7 linked regions of the Sus scrofa genome follow. The protein of the gene in region 2 interacts with the protein of the main gene of each other region in a pairwise test. Links are inferred from orthologs where the notes say so. Each region holds a gene or a part of one and is shown on either strand. Other genes may lie near its edges. The genes, in order: KIAA0408, VIM, SMARCB1, FABP4, PPL, MRPL44 and DGCR14.

What was found.
Region 1: the proteins of VIM (region 2) and KIAA0408 interact in binary tests that used the Homo sapiens proteins (3 or more experiments, as listed by UniProt). The link is inferred for Sus scrofa from reciprocal best matches to the Homo sapiens genes VIM and KIAA0408.
Region 3: the proteins of VIM (region 2) and SMARCB1 interact in binary tests that used the Homo sapiens proteins (3 or more experiments, as listed by UniProt). The link is inferred for Sus scrofa from reciprocal best matches to the Homo sapiens genes VIM and SMARCB1.
Region 4: the proteins of VIM (region 2) and FABP4 interact in a two-hybrid assay, tested with the Homo sapiens proteins (2 studies listed by BioGRID and IntAct). The link is inferred for Sus scrofa from reciprocal best matches to the Homo sapiens genes VIM and FABP4.
Region 5: the proteins of VIM (region 2) and PPL interact in binary tests that used the Homo sapiens proteins (3 or more experiments, as listed by UniProt). The link is inferred for Sus scrofa from reciprocal best matches to the Homo sapiens genes VIM and PPL.
Region 6: the proteins of VIM (region 2) and MRPL44 interact in a two-hybrid assay, tested with the Homo sapiens proteins (2 studies listed by BioGRID and IntAct). The link is inferred for Sus scrofa from reciprocal best matches to the Homo sapiens genes VIM and MRPL44.
Region 7: the proteins of VIM (region 2) and DGCR14 interact in a two-hybrid assay, tested with the Homo sapiens proteins (2 studies listed by BioGRID and IntAct). The link is inferred for Sus scrofa from reciprocal best matches to the Homo sapiens genes VIM and ESS2.

Annotation. Positions count from the first base shown.
Region 1 is NC_010443.5:35,741,352-35,745,559, forward strand, and holds the start of KIAA0408 (uncharacterized protein KIAA0408 homolog), read left to right. Parts: upstream 1-1,451; 5' UTR 1,452-2,844; coding exon of another isoform or gene 2,845-2,955; 5' UTR 2,956-3,149; intron 3,150-4,208. Other genes in the region: protein SOGA3, read left to right, coding at 276-1,451, 2,845-2,955.
Region 2 is NC_010452.4:43,515,306-43,519,240, forward strand, and holds the start of VIM (vimentin), read left to right. Parts: upstream 1-1,135; 5' UTR 1,136-2,334; coding exon 2,335-2,897; intron 2,898-3,521; coding exon 3,522-3,582; intron 3,583-3,935. UniProt on the Homo sapiens protein: Vimentins are class-III intermediate filaments found in various non-epithelial cells, especially mesenchymal cells. Vimentin is attached to the nucleus, endoplasmic reticulum, and mitochondria, either laterally or terminally.
Region 3 is NC_010456.5:49,882,044-49,885,543, forward strand, and holds part of SMARCB1 (SWI/SNF-related matrix-associated actin-dependent regulator of chromatin subfamily B member 1), read right to left. Parts: intron 2,642-3,500; coding exon 2,475-2,641; intron 1-2,474.
Region 4 is NC_010446.5:55,094,961-55,099,199, reverse strand, and holds the start of FABP4 (fatty acid-binding protein, adipocyte), read right to left. Parts: upstream 2,801-4,239; 5' UTR 2,731-2,800; coding exon 2,658-2,730; intron 30-2,657; coding exon 1-29.
Region 5 is NC_010445.4:37,491,487-37,494,986, reverse strand, and holds part of PPL (periplakin), read right to left. Parts: intron 3,284-3,500; coding exon 3,163-3,283; intron 2,734-3,162; coding exon 2,608-2,733; intron 2,519-2,607; coding exon 2,477-2,518; intron 1,061-2,476; coding exon 899-1,060; intron 812-898; coding exon 704-811; intron 1-703. UniProt on the Homo sapiens protein: Component of the cornified envelope of keratinocytes. May link the cornified envelope to desmosomes and intermediate filaments. May act as a localization signal in PKB/AKT-mediated signaling.
Region 6 is NC_010457.5:125,731,102-125,735,218, forward strand, and holds the start of MRPL44 (39S ribosomal protein L44, mitochondrial), read left to right. Parts: upstream 1-1,317; 5' UTR 1,318-1,335; coding exon 1,336-1,514; intron 1,515-3,020; coding exon 3,021-3,489; intron 3,490-4,117. UniProt on the Homo sapiens protein: Component of the 39S subunit of mitochondrial ribosome. May have a function in the assembly/stability of nascent mitochondrial polypeptides exiting the ribosome.
Region 7 is NC_010456.5:50,953,219-50,957,205, forward strand, and holds the start of DGCR14 (protein DGCR14), read right to left. Parts: upstream 2,801-3,987; 5' UTR 2,729-2,800; coding exon 2,594-2,728; intron 921-2,593; coding exon 752-920; intron 661-751; coding exon 559-660; intron 1-558. UniProt on the Homo sapiens protein: May be involved in pre-mRNA splicing.

The sequences.
Region 1 (4,208 bases), on a different chromosome or scaffold from region 2:
TAGTGATGACCATGATTTTTCTCTTTTTATATTCTTTTCTCTGTTTGTTTCTAGGATGTAATATTGTCCTAATGTTTTATTTGCTAGCGTTAAATGATTTGAAGAAAATGTACAGCATCTACTCCTCTCTCTGTGTTTCTCCCTCTCTCTGTGTGTCTCATTAAATCTTAATTATAAGAAACAGGAATTATTTTTGCAGGTGTCCTTTTTTGGTTGTTTTCCTGATTTACGTAAAAATAATCTCCCATCTTTTCCCCTTCTTTTTCCCAAACGAGGAGGACAATGAAGATTTGAAATGCCAGCTGCAGTTTGTGAAGGAAGAAGCTGCTTTGATGAGAAAGAAAATGGCCAAGATTGATAAAGAAAAAGACAGATTCGAACACGAGCTCCAGAAGTACAGATCCTTTTACGGGGATCTAGACAGTCCTTTACCCAAAGGAGAAGCAGGGGGACCGCCCAGCACCAGGGAGGCTGAGCTCAAGCTACGGCTGAGGCTGGTGGAGGAAGAAGCCAACATCCTGGGCAGAAAAATCGTCGAACTGGAGGTGGAGAACAGAGGCTTGAAGGCAGAGCTGGACGACCTGAGGGGCGATGACTTCAATGGCTCGGCCAACCCTCTCATGAGGGAGCAGAGCGAATCGCTCTCGGAGCTGCGGCAGCACCTGCAGCTGGTGGAAGACGAGACGGAGTTGTTGCGGAGGAACGTGGCTGACCTGGAGGAGCAGAACAAGCGCATCACCGCGGAGCTCAACAAGTACAAGTACAAGTCCGGCAGCCACGAAAGCTCACGGCACCATGACAACGCCAAGACTGAGGCCCTACAGGAGGAGCTGAAGGCTGCGCGCCTGCAGATCAACGAGCTCAGTGGCAAGGTCATGCAGCTGCAGTATGAGAACCGTGTGCTTATGTCCAACATGCAGCGCTACGACCTGGCCTCACACCTGGGCATCCGCGGCAGCCCCCGCGACAGTGACGCCGAAAGTGACGCGGGCAAGAAGGAGAGCGATGATGACTCCCGGCCACCACACCGCAAGCGCGAAGGGCCCATAGGCGGCGAGAGTGACTCGGAGGAGGTGCGCAACATCCGCTGCCTCACGCCCACCCGCTCCTTCTACCCAGCGCCGGGGCCCTGGCCCAAGAGCTTCTCAGACCGGCAGCAGATGAAGGACATACGCTCAGAGGCCGAGCGCCTGGGCAAGACCATCGACCGGCTCATCGCTGACACCAGCACCATCATCACCGAGGCACGCATCTACGTGGCCAACGGGGACCTGTTCGGACTGATGGACGAGGAGGACGATGGCAGCCGCATCCGCGAGCACGAGCTGCTCTACCGCATCAACGCTCAGATGAAGGCCTTCCGCAAGGAGCTGCAGACCTTCATCGACCGCCTGGAGGTGCCCAAGTCCGCGGACGACCAGGGCGCCGAGGAGCCCATATCCGTGAGTCAGGTACAGTTCTGCCTATTGCGAGCCACGGCGATGGCGAGGCTGGTCCATGGAGCCGCGGTCCCAGGTGGGGCGACTCCACGCACCGACCTCCACGCCCCGCTTTAGGGAAGTCCCAGCTCAGAGCCTCTCTGGGCTTGGAAGCCCCACAGCGCACTTGTTCTTTCACACTGTCCTTCTTCAGGCCTGAGGTTTTCGTAAGTCAATTACTTAGTAGTAACTCTTCATCCTCTGTTTTGTTTCAAAGGGAAATTTAACCCCCACTTCGTTTTTGTGTAAAGAGGAAAGGACTAAGATAGATATTATTGAAGGTTAGCATTTGCAGTATTAACTCTACTGATTCTAACAGATTGAGCTGCAAGAAGATCCCGAATAGAAATGTTCAATTGCTAATCTGTGGTTTTCGAGCCAAGATTCAAATAATTTGTAAATCAGTAAATGATCAGGGTTGATGCATAGCTATTGGCAAAAATGTGGAAACCAGCGGTAAAGAGAGATCATACTGTGTCTGGAGCCCTACCAAGAGAAGCAAATAGCAGCCGCTGCTGTATCATAAGTTGAAGTAAAGTGATCTTTATTTCTAAAGGAAATCACTGTCAGCTCTGTAGCGGAGAATCTCAGGACTGGGGAAGAAGTGTTATACTTTAGCTTTAAGGCAACACTAATTCCAAGAAATAGTAATAACTATTCCCGAACAGGGAAAACCAGCATTTTTCCTTCATCCTAATTTGTAGAGGCACACCTGATGAATTGGACTGATCTCTTCTAGCCAGGTATGGTGACCAAAGACCACTGCACTTTGTCAGAGTTAACCACATAAGAGAGCTTATAAAACCAACAGGCAGTGCTCCCCCTCTGGCAAGCCTGGTATCTTGTATCCATTGAGAACCCACAGAAGTACAACAGGTTGCATGGCTTTTAAGACACGCAAGAGGTTTAAATTTAGAAATCAGTTTATACACAGAAGCATGACATTGGATTAACTGCCTATTAGGCACAACTAGAAAAATTGCCACTCTATCGCTTATTTATCTTGCATGCTGCTTTGCTTTGCTCTTACAAAAAAAAGTTTTGTGATAAAATGTGTTGAATTTTGAAATGTTAAAGATCTCTTTCTCTGTGTTTTATATCAGATAATTGTTTTTTAGTTTCCTGACTGAAGATTTTTGAATACCTTGAGCATGTGGTTTTTCAATTTTGCCCTCAGGGGAAGAAATCAAAATCAGAGTGAGAGAAAGTATTGTGTATAGTAGTAGCCTTCAGATCTTGTAAATATATGTTGGGGAGGGTTCTTTATCTTAAATTGAATGAATGCTGAGGTTAGTTGATATAAGTTTAAGTTTTAAAAATTATTATTAATTAATTCTTCTCTTTGTCTTTGCATTTACCTTCCCAGATGTTCCAGCCTATCATTTTACTTATTCTCATTCTTGTATTATTTTCATCACTTTCTTACACAACGATATTTAAACTCGTCTTCCTTTTTACACTGTTTTTTGTACTGTAAATCTTTCATCATTTACCATTCATTGTAGTATTTCAGTTTGTTTGTTTTGTTCACCCTTCAAGACAAGAAGTAAAAGAAGTATAATTTCTGTAGTAACCAATGCTATAAAAACACTGAAGACTGCTTATTTCTTTAAAAAGACACATCTTACCCCTACCGAATTCAATAAGAAGCCCAAGCGTTAAAGATTTCAGGTAAGGGAGTAAGTATGACTTCTCTTTTTATAAATCATTTTAGCTTTTCCCTCTTTCTTTTGTATCTTGATTTCTCCTGTTCTTGATAAGTAGCTGTATGAATGACTGTAAAAATTGCCTAAGTCTCTCAATTATTTTTCAGTAGTTGACTATTATGGTCTTTCAAAAGCTGGACATTCACAAGTTGATCACGTTTTAGAAAATAATATAGATTTAAAAGTACCTTTGCTGAGTTGCATCAGACTAACAAGGTAATTTTTATATCCAGTAATTATCAATGAAAATTATGGTGAACAAATGAAATGTGACCATCATGGAACCTGAACAATTTATTGCTGTGTTGATGGCGGTCTATCCAAACAGATGTGTTTGGAAGCATGAGAGTGGGTTAGGCCTTAGTTCACTGAGAAATTAATTATCCTTATCCTACTGTATTTGACTAGCTTCGACCATTCCAACCAAACTAGCATTTCTGCATTTAGCTATTATACTTTTTTTTTTTTTTTGTCTTTTTGCCATTTCTTGGGCCGCTCCCTTGGCATATGGAGGTTCCCAGACTAGGGGTCGAATCAGAGCTGTAGCTGCCAGCCTACACCAGAGCCACAGCAATGTGGGATCCGAACCACTTCTGCAACCTACACCACAGCTCATGGCAACGCCAGATCCTTAACCCACAGAGTGAGGCCAGGGATCGAACCCGAATCCTCGTGGACACTAGTTGGCTTTGTTACCCGCTGAGCTACAACAGAAATCCCCCCCTTTTTGGGAAATATTTTGAGTGGGGGAAAAAACAGTCATTCTTTAGAACTTCATTAAATCACAGTCTAAAACCAGTAGCATAGTTCCAGTGGGAGTTGCTCTCTATACATAAACTTACTTTGGTGACCTTCAGCATTGCTCTTTTTCCTTCTACTTAAAGTGACCTGGATAGGTTGCATGTACCCAAAAGGCCCTATTCTGTCCATCTCTTTGGCAGTTTATATATGGAAAGCTGGACTGTACCAATGCCACCAAGATTTAGAAATACTAGCATTCAGAGTTCCTGTCGTGGCGCAGTGG
Region 2 (3,935 bases):
CGAAGGGTTCCAGGCAAACTCACAATAGTGACATTTGCAGAGCGGAGCTCGCATAAAGGGCTCTCAGAGCATAAGTGGGCCCGCTAGGACGCCACACCCCAGGAATGCGCCTCGGGAGGGACCCGCAGAGCGGGGAGAGAATTAAGGCAATCCACAGCGGGGGAGCGGTACAGCAAGGGGTCCTGCAGCGCGACCTTGGCAGCCCCACCGGCCAGAACGAACTGAAAGGAGGTAAACAAAACACTGCCTAAAAGAGGCTTGTACAAAGAAGTGAAAATAAACCCTTCATTTGGTTCTGAACTATTTTTTCTTAAATGCCAGGCAACCTTCAGGGCCCCCCTTTCCAAAACAAAAACACAAAAGCAGAGGGAAGAATTTTATCTCCCTCCACATCCACCACTGAATCAAGATGTTTCTACTTTTGCAGTGATTTTGGAGTTAATCCGTTCAATACTCAACTCTTCTAAACACTGAAACACCACAACAATAACGACGAAAACCTGTGATTTTTAAATTGCTACGAAATCACTGACAGACTCTCTTCTCTGTTCTGCGCTTTACTCATTCCCAACAAAACCCCTTCAGTTGAGTGATTTACCTAGAAAGATTTTCAGGTTGGAATCTGAACACGCCCTTGTGCCCTGGACCAAAAGTTTTCTCCTTCTGTAGACAGCTTTATCCCCCTCACTCCAAGATGAATTGCAGGAATTCTTCTGGAAAATAGGCTAAGGGACCTGTGACATTTCTCAGACAAGTCACCAGAATCCTGCGCTGTGCATCATGCGTGAACTAAAATGAACACATAAATCTAGTCTCAAACATTCAGTCCCTTGAGTTACATAACTGCCTTTTATTAATCAAATTAAACATTTAAAGCAACATCTACTTAATTCTATAATTGGTGTAGATTATATCTTTAATGTCTCTCACTACAGCAGAAAAAGCAGTGATCACTCAATTGGATTTTGCAACTACAGAGTTTCCTCTTTCACCCAGAAACGTTCAGATCTTGTTAAAAGTCGGGTGCGGTTTTACGGGGGGAGGGGGTGGAGGAAGGCGGAGAGGAGACCGGAGGGGAGGCGGGAGGAAACTTTGCAAGAAAAACCCTCCCCAAGTGCCTTTGTGAGGCCGGAGACCGGCGTTTGGCGGTTACAGAGCCTCCGCGGAAGTTTCTTACTAAAGAGAAGCCAGCATATTGGAGCAAAATCTGGATTGGGCGCGTTCCTAAGAATTTAGGAGCGCTCTAGACTCCAAACCAGCGAACGGCACATAAGAAAGCAGAGCCCAGCTCGAAGTTGGGTAAAACTTAGAACCAACAGTACTCGCACAGTGGCCCGGGGAGACGAAAGTCAATCTCGTCTAACGGTTTTCCTGAACCGCTAGGACTCCTCAACCTCGGTGGCGGGACAGCAGAGCGCAGTGACTCACTGCCAGTGGTGACTCAGCGACCCCACCCATCTCCCCTGGGCTTTCCTTGGCCACTTCCTTGCAGCTCCTTGTCCAAAGCCGGGCCCAGCCGGTTAGGTCCCTGAACAGGAACTCCTACTACAGGAGGACGAGGAAAGTTGGGGCCGGATTGGTCCCGCTGTCCAAGCAGGCGTGCGCAAGGCTGCGCAGAGCCCAGAGCCCTGCGCCCCGGGCTGTGCGCGCCCCCACCTCGCGCTCCAATCTCAGGCCCTCTTTGTTTCTTTCTCCACGCCTTCCGATCTGCTGGATCCCTCACTCCTCTCTTCCGGCTCCTTTACCCGCGGGGCCCCCCCACCCTCGCGCTTCCAGGCGACCGCAGCCAAGGGGCCGCGCGCCCCTCCCACCCGCACGCTTCCTCCTACGCCTCCCTAGCTGGCTGGGTGCCCGGGACCCTTGTGGTTCAGTCTAGGGAGGGCTCCCCCATCACCGCGGGACCCAGCCTTTTTCATCACCCAGAGGTGAGCACACCTCAGGCCATCCTCAGGAAAGCCCCAAAAGTTCCAGTTCAGCCTCCAAGTTACTGGGGGACTGAGCATAGTCCCGGTTGCGGAGGAGGGGGGAGGAGGGAGGCTCCCGGGCTCCCCCGCCCCAAACCCCAGGCCAGCCTTCCCGCCTCTCGCCGGGTCCCCATTGGCTGGCGCACTCCGCCGCCGGGATGGCAGTGGGAGGGAACGCTCCATCCTAAGGCGGTTATAAAAACTGCGCCCTCGGCGGGGTCCCGTCCTCTGCCACTCTTGCTCCGGGGTCCCCGCGCCAGAGACGCAGCAGCGCTCCCTTTGCCCACACCCACCGCTCCCTCGCTCGCCTCTCCTCCCGGAGCCAGTCCGCGCCACCGCAGCCGCCCAGCCCACTGCCACCTCTGCAGCCATGTCCACCAGGACCGTGTCCTCGTCCTCCTACCGCAGAATGTTCGGCGGCCCTGGCACCGCTAGCCGGCCGAGCTCCAGCCGGAGCTACGTGACCACGTCCACCCGTACCTACAGCCTGGGCAGCGCGCTGCGTCCCAGCACCAGCCGCAGCCTCTACACCTCGTCCCCGGGCGGCGTGTACGCCACGCGCTCCTCGGCCGTGCGCCTGCGGAGCAGTGTGCCCGGCGTGCGGCTGCTGCAGGACGCGGTGGACTTCTCGCTGGCCGACGCCATCAACACCGAGTTCAAGAACACCCGCACCAACGAGAAGGTGGAGCTGCAGGAGCTGAATGACCGCTTCGCCAACTACATCGACAAGGTGCGCTTCCTGGAGCAGCAGAACAAGATTCTGCTAGCCGAGCTCGAGCAACTCAAGGGCCAGGGCAAGTCGCGCCTGGGGGACCTCTACGAGGAGGAGATGCGAGAGCTGCGCCGGCAGGTGGACCAGCTCACCAACGACAAGGCCCGCGTCGAGGTGGAGCGCGACAATCTGGCCGAGGACATCATGCGGCTGCGGGAGAAGTAAGACTAAGCGCCCGCGGGGCTTCAGGAGGGCGGCAGAGGGGAACCGAAGCTAACACGCCCTTGGGGATGTGGCTGGGGCGGTGGCTGCCTGGGGTACGCGGTGGGCGGGGGGAGAGCGCTGTGGCTGCTGCGGCGCAGCCCTGCCCTGAACCCAGATCTTGCAAGTTAGCATTTACCCTCTACCCCGACTCATTGCCCAAGAACGACCAAAATTCAGATTTCTTAAAACTACCACTTTGTTGTTACTCGAAGGCTCCTGCAAACGATCAGTGCGATTCCCCCAAACTTTGAGAAAGTTTCCTGGTCCCCTCTGACGGGCTGCTCTTTCCCCAGGAGCGGTGTAGGAAGCGAGACAAAGGGATTGCAGAATCTTCACGGGGGAGTGGGGTGGTGGCATTCGCCTCCCAGGTCATTGTAGCAACTGCGATTGCTTTTTACGCAGCGGCCAGGGTCCCTTTGAGATTTGCCAAAGGCAGCAGTTCTAAAAGCCATAGTCGCCGACTGCCACAGAGGTGGCGCAGCAACTCGGCTGTCTCGCGGCGAAGACGTGGTGGTTGGGTGTGGTCGCCACGCCCCTGGCGGTTTCCCAGTTCCCCTTCGGTTGATGTGCATCTCTTTCAGGTTGCAGGAGGAGACGCTTCAGAGGGAGGAAGCCGAGAGCACTTTGCAGTCTTTCAGACAGGTTTGTAGATTCTCTTCCCACTTGCAGCCACCCGACCCCACCCACCCAACCTACGGGCAGTTCTCAAAGTTACTTAACCCAAGTCTAAATCGTGCAAAACTTCTCGTCTGCTCGCCAAGCCCCCTAGTGGCAGAAAGACCACAGTTGGGAGCTTCTCCGCCTTAAAAACCCTCGAACGATTAAACCGTTCCTTCCATAGGACGTGAATAAAGTCTTTTTGACTTTGTTTCAAGATTTTTTTCCCCCAAGACATGACTTTTTTTTTCCCGTTTCGGTTCTGCAACACACTGATACTCTGATCTCGAACAGTTACAGTTTGATTCAGACTTCGGTTTGCCAAAGTCAAGCTAGCT
Region 3 (3,500 bases), on a different chromosome or scaffold from region 2:
AGAACCCAATATAATGTGTCCATAAAAATGCAGGTTTGATTCCTAGCCTCATTCAGTGGGTTAAGGATCCCAAGTCACTGTGGCTGTGGCTGTGGCCAGCAGCTGCAGCTCTGATTCAACCTCTAGCCCAGGAACTTCCATATGCCGCAGATGCAGCCCTAAAAAGAAAACAAAAGCAAAAACAAAAAGTGAGATTTATTCTGACAATGCAAGGATGGCTCAATAAGAAAACTGATCAGTGTAATAATATACCACATGAACAGAATGAAAGACAAAAATCACATGATCATCTCAACTGATGCAGAAAAAAGTATTTGACAAAATTCAACATGCTTTCATGATAAAAGTACTCACCAACTAAGAACAGATAGAGACTATATCAACATAATAAAGTCAATACATGAAAAAGCGCATAGCAAAAAAGAAAAGAAAAAAGTCATAGTAAATATCATACTTAATGGTGAAAGGCTAAGGACTTTTAAGATCAGGAACTAGCCAAGGAAACCTACTCTTGCCACTTCTATTCAACACAGCATTGGAATTTCTAGCCAGAGCAATTAGGCAAGAAAAAGAAATAAAAGATATCTACTTGGAAAGGAAGAAGTCCTCTGTTCTCAGATGTTATGATCTTATATGCAAAACACCCTAAAGATGCTATTAAATAAACTGTTAGGACTAATAAGCAAACTCAGCAAAGTAGGAGGATACAAAGTTAACACGCAAAAGTCAGCTGCATTTCTCTGCACTAACAATAAACAATCTGAAAAGGAAATTAAGAAAAAATTCCAATTACAATAGCATCAAGAAGAATAAAATACTAAGAAATTAACTTAACCAACAAGATGAAAGACTTGTATAATGAAAACTGTAAAACACGCTGAAAGACATTAAAGATATAATTCATATGGAATCTAATGACAAAGGATGTCCAGCCAAAACAATGATGAAAAAAAGAACAAAGTTGGAAGACTCACACTTCCTAATTTCAAAACTTATTGCTAAACTGTAATAATCAGGAGATCCCCTTGTGGCTCAGCGGTAAAGAACCTGATTAGTAACCATGAGGACATGGGTTTGATCTCTGGCCTCACTCAGTGGGTTAAAGATCTGGCACTGCTGTGAGCTGTGGTGTAGGTCGCAGAAGTGGCTCAGATCCTACGTTGCTGTGGCTGTGGCACAGGCCAGTGGCTACAGCTCTGATTCGACCCCTAGCTTGGGAACTTCCATATGTTGCAGGTGTGGCCAGAAAAAAAAAAAAAAAAGACAAAAAAATTAAAATAAACTGCAGTAATCAAAACTGTGGTACTAACATAAAAATAGACACACAAACCAATGGAACAGACAACCCAGAAATAACCCCCAAATATGTGGTCAAACAATTTTCAACAAAGGTGCCAAGATTATTCAAAGGAGAAGAGACAGTGTTTTCAACAAATGGTTTTGGATAAGCAAGATATATATATGCAAAAGAATGAATTTGGACCCTTACCTGATAGCATACACAAAATTAACTCAAACTGTATAGAATATATAAATGTAAGAGCTAAAACTATAAAACTCTTAGGAAAAAACATAGAGGAAAAGCTTTATGACATTTAATTTGGCAATAAATTCTCAGATATGACACCAAAGGCAGAGGCAATAAATGAGAAAATAGACAAATTGGACTTCAACAAAATCGAAAACTTCTCTGCATCAAAGGACACTATCAACACAATAAAAAGGCAAGCACAGCATGCAAGAAAATATTTGCAAATCACATATCTGATAAGTGACTGGTATCTAGAACATATAAGAAAGTGGTAAAACAAAACACACCTGATTCAAAAAGGTCAAAGGACCTTAAGCAGACAGAAGATAAACAAATGGCTGATTAGCACATGAGAAGATAGTCAAAGTCACTAATCAACAGGGCAATGCAAATCAAAACCACAAAGATATATGCTTCACACCAAGCAGGCTCTGCCGAGGACAGGCCTGGGTCCAAATCCCAGCTCTAAGACTTCTCAGTGGAGAAGCTGGGACAGGTGACCTGCCTGACCTCTCTAGGTGCCCACCTCCTCACCTGTAATACAGAATCTTCCCCCAGGATGGCAGCAGATTACTGAGACAGTATGGAGTGTGCTGACTCAGCCTGCCCACAGGAAGAGGGTACTCATCCTACTGTGGGCTTCCCTGCTCTACCTATCATCTAGCCTCATCTCCTTTGTACCACTGGGCTCTGCACCATGCCTGGCAATGTCACACAGCACCCCCTGAATGTGATATCTTATTCAGAAGTCAGCCCATGCCCTTCCCGGGATAAGAGTGTTGCCTGAAAGACAGCTTTTCAGAAGTCCCATCCCACAGCGTGGACCCCAGACAAGCTCTGTCAAGGCCTCCAAGTACCTTCAATGCCTCATGAACTCCGCACTTGTCCCGCCCCACATTCTGCAGGATAAGGAAGCCCCAGTGCAGGGCAGGAAGCTGCCTACCTTGATAATGACCCGCTGGTCTGACTGGTCCTCCAGGATGCTGTCTGTGGGGTAGGACTCAATTTGCTGTCTGATGGCAGAGGCGATGGCTGGTACAAATGTCAGCGGGTTCAAATCCAGGTCATCACAGAGAATTTCTGAAAACATCTCAGGGGTCATCAGCTTCTCTGCAATGAGGAGGTAGGGACTGCCATTGGATTGCAGGGCCTCATCTCATCGCTCTGGGCCCTGATCTCCCTTACCCCTTCCTCCTCTGCCAAACCTCCCGGATGAAGATGAGGATGAAGAGAAGGAAAAGGTTAAGGGGAGGAAAGAGACGAGCACCCCCTCTGGCCCTCATTCCACACACATCCCCACACACACCTCTGGGAGGTGTCAAGACCCTAAGCGCTCCCCCATACCAGGCCCCCCTTGCTCCCAGGCTTAAGACCACACAGCTCCATTAGTTCTACCAGTGAGATGTCTGGGGAGAGGGTACACAAGGGCACTTCAGAGCTGAAATACCATGTCCTCCCTCTTCTGACTCAGGCAACCAGGAAGGTCCACAGGGAGAAGATAGCCTCAGAGGAAACCAACGCTACCAACACCTTGATCTCAGACTTCCAGCCTCCAGAACCCAGGGGAAATCAAACCTGGTGTTATACCCCCAGCCTCTGGTACTTTGTCATAGCAGCCTGAGCTAACACAGGTTCCTTCTGAAAAAGCCACTGTGAGGCCAGCATCCCATGCACAAGTAGGTGTGTGTCCACTCACCATTTCCTCCCCAGTAGAGAAATCTCTCAGAGATAATGTCAGGCTGCCTGTGGATTTTTACAGATCTTCGGGCAGTTTCTGACTCTGTGGGCAGCTCATGCACTCAACCAGGTGACAGCAAGGAGATGTGTACAGCTCCTGAGAATGTAACTGCACCAAGGGCAAGCTTCACGGGGATGGCTACAATTGGCCAGACCTCAGCAAGGTCCTGTGTGGTCAAGTGTTCTCGCCCCACCTAGCCTCTTCTCACAGCCTCAAACCTCGAGGACCACA
Region 4 (4,239 bases), on a different chromosome or scaffold from region 2:
AGCCACCTTCCTGGTGGCAAAGCCCACTCCTACAGTTGGGAAAAGAAAAAGATCAAGTTTACAATTTTCTCTCACATCTTTATCTAAGAAGGAATGCGTGTATGTGTGTGTGTGTGTGTGTGTGTGTGTGTGTGTGTGTGTAGATGGATGCACATGTGCATAAAAGGAGAAAGACTTCAAGAGTTCCCCTGTGGCTCAGCAGGTTAAGAATCTGGTGTTGTCACCACTGTGGCACCAGTTCAGTCCCAGGCCCAAGAGTTTCTACATATCACAGGTGAGACTAAAAAACAAAAACAAAAAAACCCCCAAAAAATGGGGGAGGGGGAGAAAGTCTCCTGAGAGTTTCTTAAATGTCTTATTTAAACATCTTCTGCAGGTAAATAAAGTAGGCTAATACTTAAAGAACACTTGAAGCATGATACGATGTAAGTCCATTCTTTAAATTTCCCCCTCAGGGTTTCAGAAACAACTTCTTAGGAGATTCATTGTTACTTTTGAACAAGAATATGTACAAAGATTCTCCTGGAACATATGTTTCAAAAGCCACTACACTCTCAATTAACTGGCCATCTCAACAATGAGGGCAACCACTTGTCACTCAGCTCATGACACACTTGGGCCACATTGACCTTGGATTCTTAGTTAACAAAAATGATCTAATCCTGAGTCAAGGAAAGAATTCTCAGTAGTATTTTGGGGGCCTGATATAGAATTACTCAATTAAAAATGAATCTGTTGGGGTATCCAAAAATCCCATTTCATGGCATTTTCTGCCAAGTCTAGTTTTCTTGGCTTTTTCCAAATTACATGCAATGAAGATTTTGATTAATTTTCCCAAAACCATTTCCAAACAATATTTCCTACATTCATTACACTTTAGAATGATAAGGTTGTTCCCAATAAATTATAGAAAATATTAATGAGGACTTAGGCATCGATTGTGAAAACTTTAAAATTTAAGAAATTACTGTTGTAGTAAGTTTAGAAATTAATCCTTTGATTCCCAATCACTTAAATGGAAAACTCTTCTATTTAAAAGAAGAGGAATGTATTTTGCATGTGTGACAGGCATGGGATGAATAATTTACAGCCCATCACAGAGAGCACTACCTTGCTGACACTGCATATGTTATACAAAATTTATGATTGTCATAAATGTGTTGGATTAAAAAAGAAAACATGTGCACAAATCTAAGTTGCTTCTTTGACTAAAGGCTACTAATAGATACCAAAGTTTAGAAATAGAAGGGTCAAGGAGGGGAATATTGTGCAGAACAAGCCATGGCAGCTCTGATTTAGCTCCTTGTCTGAAAATGGGAACAGGTAGAAAGATAATATGTTGCTTCATCAAGCCCTGGCTCTTCTACAAAATAAGACATCAAAGACAGAATGAATCAGCGTCGTGAATGGATGCAGAGTGGAGTGTGATTCCAGATGGGACGAGCTGAGAAAAATCGTACTTTCCGCTTTTTTGCTTCTGTCCTCATCTGGCTGATGAAGGCAATATCTGCTTACCATAGGCAATCAATTAAACCAGCTAATTTCAAGACATAACTTTTTGTCTTTCATTATCATTAACACTTTATCATTTTAAAACAGCATGGTCTAAAATTTATATATAAATACTAACAGTGTAAAATGTTTCTAAAAATCAGCAGTTAAATAATCTCAGATCCTGGCATATCTGTATCAGTACATGTTAATTTGTTTATTGAATTACAACTAGTTGTTATTTTAGAAAGCTTGGTCTCATTCATGCCAAAGTCCCTGATTACCCTCTTGCCTATAAACAAGAAAAACAGTAGTTACAGACAAAAAAAATACACCATAAGGTTTAGAAGAAGCTTAACTCTTGAGATTTAGGGAGTATGCCATAACCCTTAAAGATATTGTGAAAAAAAGTCCCTCCCCAGTTTTCAGCCCCTGGATACACCTTGTTCACGATGAGGGTGGCTACCAGAGTGACAGATATCTCACCTCTCCCTTGCTTTGCTTCTGTCACTATCGGGGAACACACAAACAATGTCAACAGAGTCTCAAAACCCGAAAGCCTCCATTATCAACAATACTATGCCATCTCATGTAATTTTTAGTCAAATACTTCAGATCTTTAAGGAACATATTTTCTGAAATTAAGATTTTGTTCTCCCCTTAGATAGCCACACACTTTAATAGATTGACCTTAAAACAATCAAATAATTGGTTAACATATGTTACTCAAAAAATTACATTAAGATGACAGATACAATGCTTTCAGTTTCCAGTGGAAAATACTGCATGCTAAGAAGTAAATATAGTTTTATTTCCAAGTTACTGCTTAGTTTATATGCAAAAGGAATGAAAGAACAAGAAGCAAAGAGCCAAGTAAGCCAAAGATACCCAGGTTTAGCAATCAAATAAAATCTTGTCATTTCTGCACATTATAACAATTCATTTATATCCTTTTTCATATCAGTTCACCTTTAAGAAGCATTAGTTGTGACTTTGGTCTAGAATGTTTCTAGAAACAAGTGATTCTCAGTTGTTACTTTATAGTCTCTATACAAAAAGCAGTACTTCATGTCTGGCTGGTGCTTCCAGAGTGAAAAACAGCCATAAATTACTCTTCCCCAGAGAAAAACTTGTAAATCCAGCTATCCCATAATGTATTTCCTTACCCACTTCTTTCATGTAATCATCAAAGTTTTCACTGGAGACAAGTTTCCAGGTACCTACAAATGCATCACACATTTTGTGAGCACTCTAGGATTATTCTTCAAGGTGAGAAAGAAGCCGTAACCTTCAGGAAGGTGCAATGACTCTCTTCAGTCCAGATAACTTCCTTTTAAAGATGCCCAGAACATGTGATCTTAGGAGTAACCAATTAGGAACAATATCATATCATTTCCACCATTACTAGCCTCTGCAGTTTTTCTTCTGAGTCATGTTTTTAATAGAAATTTCTCAACTTTGGTTCTCCCTGGCAACGGGTCATTGGACTTAGAGTACAACTTATTTTTAGCCGTTAAGAAAATATTTTAAACATTTTCGTTCTGACCATTTAGTGTTCGGCGCATTGAATTTCCTCCTATTATTTTCATACATATTTATCCCAGTGTGGAGTAGAGCAGGCTTATTATCATGGGGTAAATTTTGACTCCCTTTTCTGAAGTCTTTATTAAAATTACAATTGTGTGGTTCGTTAGAATTGAGGAATGTAAGAATTACCTTGAATATTAAGTTATTTGCAGAGGCTTTGGGGAACAGTTTTATCTTAAGAATTACCTGGCAATTAAAACAAAATGAGTAATGGCATTTCAAAGTAACCGAAGCTTCTCATTTCAAATATTTGGGATGGATTTAAAAAAAAAAAGAGTAAATCCAATTATCCACTGTGATCTGGACAGTAGATTTAATTAATAATGATAATTAAACCTCAATGAGAGGATGATGTTGCTTTTCACGGACCCCTTAAAAAAATAGACCCCAGTCCAAAACATACTTCCCATACTGAGAAAATTCATCCAATTCCTGAACTATATCATAAGCTCTAAATTTATCCAGAGCTCAATGGTGTTGCTTTCCTTAAAAATAATCAGAAGTGGTTTGGTCACAAGCCATCAAAATCTAATTTCTTTCTCTCACATGGTGAAGTATTCCTGAGGATGCTTTTCTAAAATAATTATGTATTTCAGCCCCCTCCCCCACTTCCTTCCCTGTACCAGAATGATGGGAGATATTCACATAAATGTACCCAAATTTCAGGAAAGAAAAAAAACAAATTAAAATATTACAGAGTGGTGAATCTCTACACCATGTATTCAACTGAGCAGTATCTGCATCAAAGAATTGATTTGTCAGTATCCTGAAATCTTCCCAGAAATATTTGAGACAGAGCCTTCTGTAAACCACAGGATTTTCTGGAGGAAAGCAAGTTGCTATGAAAAATTGATAAAGTCATGTTACAATAGTAATTTTAAGTGTTGCATATGTTAATGGCACAGTAACATATGTTTGCTCACTCAGGACTGTTGCTTAGAGATATAGACTGTGGGTGGTGTACGTTTCCCCATGGGCTTTTGTTATTATATATTCATTGAACAAGAAAATAAAAATGGGGAGTTCCCATTACGGTTCAACAGTAACAAACCTGACTAGTAACCATGAGGACTCATGTTTGATCCCTGGCCTCACTCAGTTGCTTAAGAATCCGGTGTTGCCAGGAGCCGGGGTGTAGGTCACAGACACGGCTCGGACCCC
Region 5 (3,500 bases), on a different chromosome or scaffold from region 2:
ATAGGGTCTTTGCAGCTGTAATTGGTTAAGCATCTCAAGAGGAAATCATCCTGGATTTAGGGTGGGCTTGAAAGAAGATGACACACGGTGAGAAGGCCTCGTGAGGACACAGAAGCAGGTGGAGGAGAAATCCAGCTCCAGTCTAAGGAAGGCCAGGCACGGCCAGCAGCCCCCAGGAGCAAGAAGGGAGACGAGGAAGGATGCACCCCCAGAGCCTCAGAGGGTACAAGCCTGCTCACACCTTGATTTCGAACGTCTGGCCTCCAGAACCGTGAGAGAATAACATTCCATTGTTTAAAGCCACCCAAAGCCTCTGAGAGAGAATGGCTATGTGGACGTGTGTGGCTGGGCCACTTTGTTGTACAGCAGAAAAAATCACAGCCTTGGCAGTTAACTATACTTCAGTATAACTTAAAAAAAATACATAAACAAACCCATCTAGTTTGTGGTCATTTGTTACAGCAGGGATAAGAAGCTAATACAGCCCTCCCATGGGCTTCAGGAGTCTGGGAGGGCATCAAACGAATGAAAGGGGGCAGGGTCAGACAGAACAAGAGGAGACGGGAAAATGGAAAGGCAGATGGACAGGCGTACTCAGGAGGTTAGTCTCCCACCTTGAGGACTGCTCGAATGCAGGCAGCCCACAGCAGAGGCCACCCTGAGGCCAGCCTGGAAGAGGCGTCCCCTTCCAGGACTCACGCACCTCAATGGAGTTCCTCCCCGGGTGCTCGGCGGCAAGCAGCTGCTCCCCCTCGCTGTGCAGCTTGTTGATTCTCTCCTCTTTGGCTTCCAGGTTCCGGTTGATGAAATTCTGCAGCGGGGGCAGTGCAGGGGTTCAGCGCCCAGTCCGGCAGCCCGTGGTCCCTGCAGGCCCCGCGCCCCAGAACCCAGTGTCTACCTCGTACTGGCGCCGGCGGCTGGGGTAGTCAAGGTTGCGGTCACTCCAGTCATACTGCATGCGGCCCTGTGCCTGCTGGTCCAGCCAGTACAGCTCGTTGGTGCAGCGCTGCATGTAGTCCTGCAGCGAGCTCAGGTGCTGCTGCCGCGCCTGCGACGCCGCCTGCAGGCAGGGTGAGGATGGGGCTGCAGCAGGCGGGGAAGAGCCTCCCTGCTCACTCCCTGCCCAGCCCAGCCCCCCCACTAAACCCCTTCCCCCGCTCAGCAAATGTTTATTGAGCATCTACTGAGTGCTGGGCATGGCTCCGGGCACTGCAGACACTGTAGTGAGCAAAACAGATGAAACCCTTACGGAACTGGCATTTTTGAGAAGTCTCAGTTTACTCGTCTGCAAAATGGGGATAATGACAGCTCTGAGCCCACAGGGCACTAAGCTTGGCATGCAGTTGGTGCTCAATAAACATCAGCAGCTATGCCTCCACTTTTGCCTTTAACATGTCCTGACATAAGGCGGATGGTGCCAAACTCCCACAGGGCAGGGAGGCGGGGGAGGAGGAGGGATGTGTGAGTTCCACTCTGCAAACAGGAACAGCAGCGAACACGTATAGGGAGCCCGCTACGTGCCAGACTGTGCTTCTTCCGCATTAACTCACGCAGTCCTCATGCACGCTGTGAGCCAGGGACTTGAAGTAATATCGTTTTACAGAGGAGGAAACTGAGGCTCCCAGAGGCTAAGGAGGTTGCGCTCAAGGCCTCCACCAGAAGGAATGGAGGCAGCCTGGCTCCAGGGCCTCTGATGGCTACACTGTTACCGCCTCTGCATGTTCACGTCCACAGCAAGAAAGCATCTATGCGAGAGGAGATGAGACGAGTCGCTGCTGTCATGGTTTTTTAAAAAAAGGACATTCTTTAAACGTTTTGAAAGGGAAACAAAATGTTTGCTTATTAAGCACATGGCATCATACTTGGCATACAGTAGGTGCTCAATAAAGAATAAGACGCAAACGGTAACATTGTAAATCAATTATAATTTTTAAAATGCATAACAAAAACATATATAGGGAGTTCCTGTCTTGGCTCAGCACTTAACAAACCTGACTAGTATCTATGAGGACAGGGGTTCAATCCCTGGCATGGCTGGGTGGGTTAAGGATCCAGTGTTGCTGTGGCCAGCAGCTGTAGTTCCAATTTGATCCCTAGCCTGGGAACTTCTATATGCCACGGGTATGGCCCTAAAAAGACAAAAAAAAAAAAAAAAAAAAAAAGAATGTGTATATATATATATATAAATATGTGTGTGTGTGTATGTGTGTGTGGCAGAAATGGGCACAATATTGTAAATTAACTACACTTTAATAATTTTAGAAAGCACACACAAAAAAGAAGCAAACAGTAGGATGGGGGTCCCTTGGGGTTTTGGGAGCACAAGGCGAGCAGGGGCGCCTCTCAGGTAGGGCTCGGGGTACTGTCTCTTCTGCCTTCAGCGCCCTCTGTCTGTTTGAAATGTTTACTGCACACGCTTCTGACCCCACAGCCGGGCGTCCCATCCCCTCTCATCCTGTTCCCCAGGGCATCTCACCAGTAGCTTCTGGTACTTGGCCTGCAGTTCGCTGTTCGGCTCCTGGGGACGGAGCAGGGGGCCAGGGTTAGGGTGGGGGAACGGGTGGGAGCCCCTCGTCCCAGCGGGGCCCTCCACCCCCATGCACACACCTTGCCCCCGTCCTTGGCCAGGTGGGGCCCGATGGCCTTGACCTCATTGTGGAAAATGTTATGCTGCTCCACCTGGTGGTCCACCAGCGGCAGGTCCGTCCCGAAGCTCTGGCTGCTTAGCTTGTCCTGGCCGGCGGGCAGAGAGACAGCACGGGGGTGGGGGGGGGGGGGGGAAGGTATGGGCTGGGGCTCAGGACACGCAGCCCGCCGGGGAGGGGGAGTCTCTCGCTAAGAGCCACATCAGTGGCCGAGCTTCTCCATGGTGGAGATGGGCTGGCAAGGAAACAGGAAGGGCAGCAGCCAGCCCAAAATCTGGCCCCTGGCTCCAGCCTGGCAGGACCCAAACGATCCCGGGAGGGCCCCAATCTCCACTACTTCTGCTCTGTGACCTTGGGCTAGGTGCTGCACCTCTCTGAGCCTTGCTCATGTCATGGACACAAATATTAAGAAACACTGAGAACATGACTCCCTCCCTGGCTGGACTGTGACACCGCTTAAACAGTGGGGGTCTCCTGGCCCACGCATGCCCTCCACCAGCTGAAGCCCAGGCCGTACCAGCTTTTCCTCCACCAGGGCCTCCCAGTTGACCTGCGGGTCCACCTCCTTCACCGCCAGGCTGTAGATCTGCTTGTGTTTCCCGCGGAGGTTGGTCACACGCTCCTTCAGCTGACGGATGCTGAGCAGGGAGAGCGGCCACCCAGGTTAGTGGGGCTGGTTGGTGGGGAGACTGGCCTCTCCCTGAGGTGGTACCTCCCACCCCAGCCCCCGGCCTCATCTTTCTGCGCAGTGACCTGGAAAGTCAGGGTCACGGTGGCCTTGGGCTCCGGGCAGTCACTCCCACCCTGCTTTTGTGCACTTTGCTTCATCCTGCCTTCTCCTGCCAATGTTTCCTG
Region 6 (4,117 bases), on a different chromosome or scaffold from region 2:
AGTGGGAAAGCAATATAATCATATTGCTATAGAATGAAAGAAAAAAGACCTATAAGTCCACTGTTATTTATTTATTTATTTATTTTATTTATTTATTGGTCTTTTGTCTTTTTAGGGCTACACCCATAGATATGGAGGTTTCCAGGCTAGGGGTCTAATTGGAATTACAGCCGCCAGCCTACACTACAGCCACGGCAATGCTGGATCCAAGCCTCATCTGTGACCTAAACCACAGCTCACAGCAAGCCAGATCCTTAACCCACTGGGCGAGGCCAGGAATCAAACCCAGAACCTCATGGTTCCTAGTCTGATTCGTTTCCGCTGTGCCATGATGGGAACTCCTATTTTTTTTTTAATCCAATGATTTTTCCCCCCATTATAGCTGGTTTACAGTGTTCTGTCAATTTTCTACTGTACAGCGAGGTGACCCAGTCACACATACACATTCCTTTTTCTCACATTATCATGCTCTATCATAAGTGACTAGATATAGTTCTCAGGGCTATACAGCAGGATCTCATTGCTTATCCATTCCAAAGGCAATAGTTTGCATCTATTAACCCCAAATTTCCAGTCCATCCCACTTCCTTTCTTTGATTAATAAAAACTGGTACTGTTAGATTTTTTTTTTAAGTAACAATTTTAATTTGGGTAAGTCAGTATCTCTTATTCTAGGTCTCTTGAAAGAAAGGCTTTTGGAGATATGCCAGGTAAATATTTGCACATAAACAGTGTTTCGCTTGATGGTCTGGAACTCTAAATAATATGTTGCTAAGAAGTGTTTCCTCCCTTTTGAGAATGTGTTTTCTTTTTCTTTTCTTTTTTTTTTTTTTTTTTATTTTCCCACTGTACAACAAGGGGGTCAGGTTATCCTTACATGTATACATTACAATTGCGTTTTTTCCCCCACTCTTTGTTCTATTGCAACATGAGTATCTAGACATAGTTCTCAATACTATTCAGCAGGATCTCCTTGTAAATCTATTCTAAGTTGTGTCTGATAAGTGAGAATGTGTTTTCTTTAAACGTGAATCTGTTCTTCTGTTTTACATTAATGAAAGGAAGGAACGAGAGCAACCAACAAAACGAAGCAACTTCGAGAAATTTCTGGATCCAAACGGACCTCAAACCAAGTTCACCAGAGTAAAAACCAGGTGAGCAAACAAACCAACCCCACAGAGTGTGCATGCGCAGTAAAACAGCCTCGGCTGTCTGCTGCCCCGCTCTGGCTCCGCTCCACCTTCGCTTTCCACCACCAGTTCCGGGGGGGACGGTGTTACCGGGGACACTGATCCGGCTCTTTTCCTTCCGCCCTCCATTGCTCTCTCCCCTGCGATGGCATCCGGGCTGGTGAGGCTGCTGCAGTGGGGACCTCGCCGCCTCCTGGCACCGGCCGCCCCGACTCTCGCCCCGCCAGTTCGGGGAGCAAAGAAGGGCTTCCGCGCCGCCTACCGCTTCCAGAAGGAGTTGGAGCGGTGGCGCCTCCTCAGGTGCCCTCCGCCGCCCGTGCGCCGGTAGGAGTCGTCTAGGGAAGGGGTCAGGGTGGCTGTCGAGGACCCGGCGAGGTCTCCTCTGCGGCCTCGGCCGGGCGGCGGCGCGGGTTGCTCGTCGTTAGTGCGCCCCTGGCTGGCGACGAGGAGTTTGTGCGGTGGAGGCACCCGCGGGACGGACATGAGTGGCCCGAGGCAAGGGAATGGATTTCTGCCGAGGGGTTCCGACACTTCGGAGCTCCCACTTAGAATCCTGTCAAGTGAGAGTTACGAGAAATAAGGCCGGCTGGGTCACCTTCATCTGGGCTTGGGTGCTGTGGCCCCTGTTTTGTCTTGCCTGAGACTTCTTCGGGATTTGGGGCAAGGAAAAAGATTAAGTGTACAGTCACAAGTCCACTGTCCAGAGTAAAAGGAAAACGGTTTGACGTCTGGTTTTTGCCTTGATTAACCTTGCTCCAGTAGTAGAAGTTCTCGTAGAAAGAGATGCAGATCTTTATAGCTACCCCCCCCCGCCCCCCCAAAAGATCCTATTAGACATGAGGTTTTGCATCTTTTTCTCTTTAATAATGTATCTCTGACACGTAGTTGTGGTCGTATAGGTAAATGAACCTCACTCTTTTATGGCTCCATTTATGGGTGTTCGAATTCCATGTTACTGCTGTCACCACTGATGTAACAGTGAATAGCTTTGAAGTTATTACTCCTTTGGAAATTTAGTATGAAATTTTGATAGGTACTTTAATATTGCCCTCCCCTCTAAAAAAAGTTGATCTGGTTTACATACCTAATTTAGGAATATATGTGATCATAGTTCTGTACTCTTTAAAAGTTCTTTCAAAAACAAAATACTAAGTTCTTTTCCTAAAAAGAATAACAAAATAGTGTTTCTTAGTTCGCATTTCTTTGATTATTGTTGAGATTAGGCTTTTGGAGTTGGAAGAAACTTTACAGATTATATACATTTTGATTTATAATCCAGATCTTTATAGTTTGTTGCCATTTTTTACTTAAAAGAGTTTTCTTTAAGACCTTTTAGTCACTCTTGAGAATGATTATGAACTTTTAACATACTTATAATATTGATACTAGTTTATTTAATTGCTCATTTAAATGGATGCTATCAAAACTTAAATCAGTAAAATACTGGGTAAATAAAATGTGCTTACTGTTTATGGCTTGAACCTATGAAATTATACTTTGTATTTCATGTCTAAGTATAAAGTAGGTCTGTGGTTAGAGCAGAAATAAAGAACCCAAAAGTTAGGATAATGTTTTAGTCTTTGATACTGAAAAACCGTTTCGATGTGGCGGTTGATTTAGGGAAAATTAATCCGGCAAAGAACCACAAATAATCTTCGGACTTGAGTTTTAATTTTCAGAAAATCAGAGTCTGGAATTAAAATGAAAGTCAGTCTTTTAAAATTTCCTTTATATAATGAATAAAATTGCATCACAGTGAAAAATGTTTGCGTCATAATAGCATCTTGTTCTCTTTACCTACTTTTTCTGTCTTCTGTTTTACATTTTCAGTTCAGAGAAGCCCAACTGGGATTACCATGCTGAAATACAAGCATTTGGCCATCGGTTACAGGAAACCTTTTCCCTAGATCTTCTCAAAACTGCATTTGTTAATAGCTGCTATATTAAAAGTGAGGAGGCCAAACGCCAAAAACTTGGAATAGACAAAGAAGCTGCTCTTCTGAACCTTAAAGATAATCAAGAACTATCTGAACAAGGGATATCTTTTTCACAAACTTGCCTCACACAATTTTTTGAGGACGCCTTCCCAGACTTGCCCACTGAAGGCGTTACAAGTCTAGTTGACTTTCTCACCAGTGAGGAAGTTGTGTGTCATGTGGCTAGAAACCTGGCTGTGGAGCAGTTAGCGCTGAGTGCAGAGTTTCCTGTTCCCCCGCCTGTGTTAAGGCAGACTTTCTTTGCAGTGATTGGAGCCCTGTTACAGAGCAGTGGACCAGAGAGGACTGCACTTTTCATCAGGGTAAGTGATTGGTGCTGGGACCTCCTAATTGCAGGTGCTGGGATGTGCTTGAGGTGGACAGAAAGAAAAGTTGTCTTTTATCCTGAATTTCTTGGCAGGTTACCTGTGAAATGTTCTCCCTACCCAAACTGAGAAAGACCTAAAGCTTTTTTATTATGGTAGTGTCTTAATTTTTCCAGTTGTCTCTTACTGAGGACAGCATCAGAGGTGAATATTGAATTTTGGGTTGTGAGTTATAAGGACTGCAAGCCATGTCTTTAGTTTTATATCCATGAGTACAAGGGTAGTGCCTACCCGTAGATGCTCAGTAGAAGTCTGATGAATGAGTGAAGGACACTATTGGAGGGCCAAGTGTGGTTAGGGAGCACCATGCTTAAATACTGGCTCTTGTTCTGCTCTTTTAAGTGATAAAATCTTGGATTTCTGATGCCTGTGACATATACCTAGCTTGTTGTTAGCCAGTAGTTTAGCTAATTAAAATATTTAAATAATTAGTATGGCTTAATTCCACTGTTGTTTTAGAATTTGTTAGCTGGAAGATGTTTTATCCTTTGCTTTTGGATGAAAACATGAGTTTTTGAATTCTTACATAATGGATAGTCAGGCAGTCACTTCAGGTCACAAAAAC
Region 7 (3,987 bases), on a different chromosome or scaffold from region 2:
AGCCCTCCAAGGCCCATAAGCCCACCAACAGGGCTGACACAGTGAGAAGGCCACCAAGAGGGAACTCAAGGTTCCCATTCGTGGTGGGGAGTGGAGGTGGGGCAGAGGCTCAGAGGATTCCCTACTTTTGGAGCGGGACCCAGATCTTCTGCTTCCTAGACCGTAGCTCCCAAACCCTATGGGTGCCACTAAGGCAAAGAGACCCTCAAGGACAAGGTGTGGTCTGCCTGTGGACACCACTGGGCCCCCAAGGTGAAGGCCCCAAGCAAAAAGAACACACATGGAGTTCCCATCGTGGCGCAGTGGTTAACGAATCCAACTAGGAACCATGAGGTTGCAGGTTCGATCCCTGCCCTTGCTCAGTGGGTTAACAATCCAGCATTGCCATGAGCTGTGGTGTGGGTCGCAGATGCAGCTTGGATTGCACGTTGCTGTGGCTCTGGTGTAGGCTGGCAGCTACAGCTCCGATTGGACCGCTAGCCTGGGAACCTCCATATGCCGAGGGAGCGGCCCAAGAAATAGCAAAAAGACAAAAAAAAAAAAAGAACACACACTCACCAGTGCCATCCTCCAGGCCGCGGCCCCGGCCCCGGGCCTTACTGCCTACCACTCCACTGCCTGTGTGCACCTCAGGGGTTTCAAACGTGGCTGGAGTCACATCTGGGGAAAGTCGGGGTGGGAATAAAGAAAGGGGCCCTGAGGCAACAGTTCAGTGGGAGTCCCCTCCCCGCCCCCAAGGGAGTCCTCTTACAGGGCGGTGGAGGCTCTCTAGACATCTTGCCCAGGGCAGAGCCAAACTTGATGGCGATCTGGCGCATGCGCTCCAAGTCTCCATTCTCCTCTGCCTCCAAGTACTCCTTCTGCGCCTGCAGCTTCTCCACGTCAGGGAAGAAATCCCTCTGGATGACCGTCTGGAGGCCCTGAAGGAGTGATCAGAACACAAGTCAGAGGTTCCATCTGCCTTTCAGCCCTTAAAGTGCATACTGAGGCTCCCAAGTTCTGTCCAGCCCAATGATCCCCAAAGCTTGGGGACACTTTTAAAGCTTTCTCTCTCCCTCACTAACCTATCATTCTTGTTTATTTATTTGTTTGCTTTTTAGTGCCGCACCTGAGGCACACAGAAGTTCCCAGGCTAGGGGTCGAATCGGAGCTACAGCTGCTGGCCTATGCCTCAGGCACAGCAACACAGGATCCAAGCCAAGTCTGCAACCTACACCACAACTCACAGCAACACCAGACCCTCGACCCCCTGAGCAAGACCAGGGCTCAAATCTACATCATCATGGATACTAGTGGGATTCGTTTCTGCTTCACGACAAGGGAAACTCTCTAACCCATCATTCTTGCTCTCCTTTCTTTTTTTTTTTTTTTTTTTTTTTTTTTTTTTTTTGTCTTTTTGCTATTTCTTGGGCCGCTCCCAAGGCATATGGAGGTTCCCAGGCTAGGGGTCGAATCGGAGCTGTAGCTGCCAGCCTACGCCAGAGCCACAGCAATTCAGGACCCGAGCCACGTCTGCAACCTACATCACAGCTCAAGGCAACGCCGGATCGTTAACCCACTGAGCAAGGGCAGGGATCGAACCCGCAACCTCATGATTCCTAGTCGGATTCGTTAACCACTGCGCCACGACGGGAACTCCTTCGCTCTCCTTTCTTAACTCCACCTCCACATCAGCCTGATCAATGTGCGTGTTGCCACCTTCATTCCACCAAAACCACTACTTCCTTTTTTGTTTGTTTGTTTTGTTTTTTAGGGCTGAACCCATGGGCATGTGGAGGTTCCCAGCCGGGGGTCCAATGGGAGCTGTAGCTGCTGGCCTGCACCACAGCAACACAGGATCTGAGCCTCATCTGCAACCTACACCACAGCTCACAGCAACACCAGATCCTTAAACCACTAAGCAAGGCCGGGGATAGAACCTGCATGAGGATGCTAGTCAGATTTGTTAACTTCTGAGCCAGGTCGGGAACTCCCACACCCTCTATTCTGATCTGAACCCTTTACCAGGATGACTTCAGCCAGTCACCCCACCACCAGCACTGGTTGAGATTCCCACCTCTGCAGCTCCAGACAGACTTGATCCTGAGCTATAAGTCCGTGCATCCAGGTGTTCCCTAAAGCCACCTGCCTCCGCATTGCAGAGGACTCCCCTACACTTAACTGACTTCCTCCAAACCCTGTGCCAGCTTCTCCTGCGTTGTTTTCGGCAGGATCAAGGCCTACTTCAAAGGTGGGAGGCCCACCGACGCAGCGATGCCACGATGCCACCGTTTCTAGAACCCTCAGCCTTAGCACTTGTTATTATCGCCCTCCAGGAAGTTCTGTCACCATCCTCCTAAATTCCTAATGACCGTTTAATAAAAACTTGTTTCTCTGACGCCCACCCGCAACCTCGTACAGACACACTCAACCCCCACTGCCCCCTGACAGCAGGGACACCTCGCTCTACACGCTGTTTGTTTGGCTCTCAGACCGTCCACGCTCGACAGCAGAGGCTCGGACTGCTCCACCGCCGCGAGGAGACGAGAGTGTCGCGGGACAGGGGGAACGCGGGACGGGCCCAGACGTCACTGTCGTCCGCGCCGAGTCCTACCTCGATGTACTCCTCCTCGTCCAGCACCCGCTGCCTGCTTGTTGCAGGCCCGGCCTCCCCGGCTGCGCGCTTCCTCCGAGGCCGGGACGCGGCAGGAAGCATCAGGGTCCGGGCCGGCGGCCCAGGCGTCTCCATCACTATCCCAGCACCGCCCCGGCGGCGCAGAGGCGACACCGGCGGAGGTGGGGCGCGCCAGCTGCGCAGGCGCCTGAAACTGCTGACCAATCGGAGAGCCGCGTGTTTCCGAAGACCGGCCGGCGCTCCTTACTGACGTCACCGGGACCCTTTGGGTTCGTATTCCTCGCCCCGCCCCGCTCTGTTCATGCCTTGTGGGTCGTGGGTGCCAGGGGGCGCTGCGGTGGTGAGACTAAAGGGCGTGTCGTTTCCGCTAATTGTGAAAAATTCCAGCGCCGAATATTTGGAAGCCTTGGAATTCCAATTTCTCGCAAATAAGCACTACATATACTTCTATTTTTTTAACAAAGACACACTCTTCAGAAAACTTCGTTATATACGCGTTTCAAAGTTTTTATTCAATCTTTATGCGAGAAATGTCTAGTCCCTAAATGCTACAGTTGGCTTCCAAGAAGACAGCTAATTCTTATCGAAGTGGACCAGAAAATTGCCTGAGCATTTTCCCGAACCATCATTTCTTCCAAAAGGAGGTTGTGAATTACACCAAACAAGTTCTGCCCCAGAATGATTCAGTATAGGCAGTTATTCTGTCATGGAGTAGTGTCTCCATGGTATTGGTTCCTGCCCTCATAAAGCTGGAGTCAAATGCAGACGACAGACACTAGTCAGATCATCCCACAAACAGGCATAAAATGGCACGGTCAAGTGCAAGAGAGCAGAATCCTACCTGGGGGGCAGTCAGGGGAAGTTTCCAGGGAAGGGAGTGGTTGCAGGCATTGACCAGGTGGAGGGGGAGAGCTTGTTTGAAGGCCAGAGGGAGAAGACCTTTGCATACACAGAGTGCAAGGAACAGTGGGGTAGGAGCTGATGCCAGAGGGGCAGGGCCAGGCTGCAGGTAAGTCAAGAGTCATGGGTCAAGGCAACCTTGTTTTGTCTTTGTTCTGGGAGCAGTGGAAGCCCTTGGAGTGCTGTAGGCAGGAGGGGGACAGGTTCGGACTTGTACCCTGGCTTTTACGGAGAATGAATCACAGAGGAATCAGAGTGATGCAGGCAGACAAGCTGGAGGAGGCTGCAGTGGTCAAGGTGAGAGATGACAGTGGTTTTCACCAGGTTGGAGCCTGGAAAGAAGATGGATTCTGGGATTGTTTTTGGAGAAAATCAACCTGGAACCTGGAAAGAAGATGGATTCTGGGATTGTTTTTGGAGAAAATCAACCTGCTGTTGGCCTGGGTTTGGTGGGTGAGGGAGAGGAGGGGTCA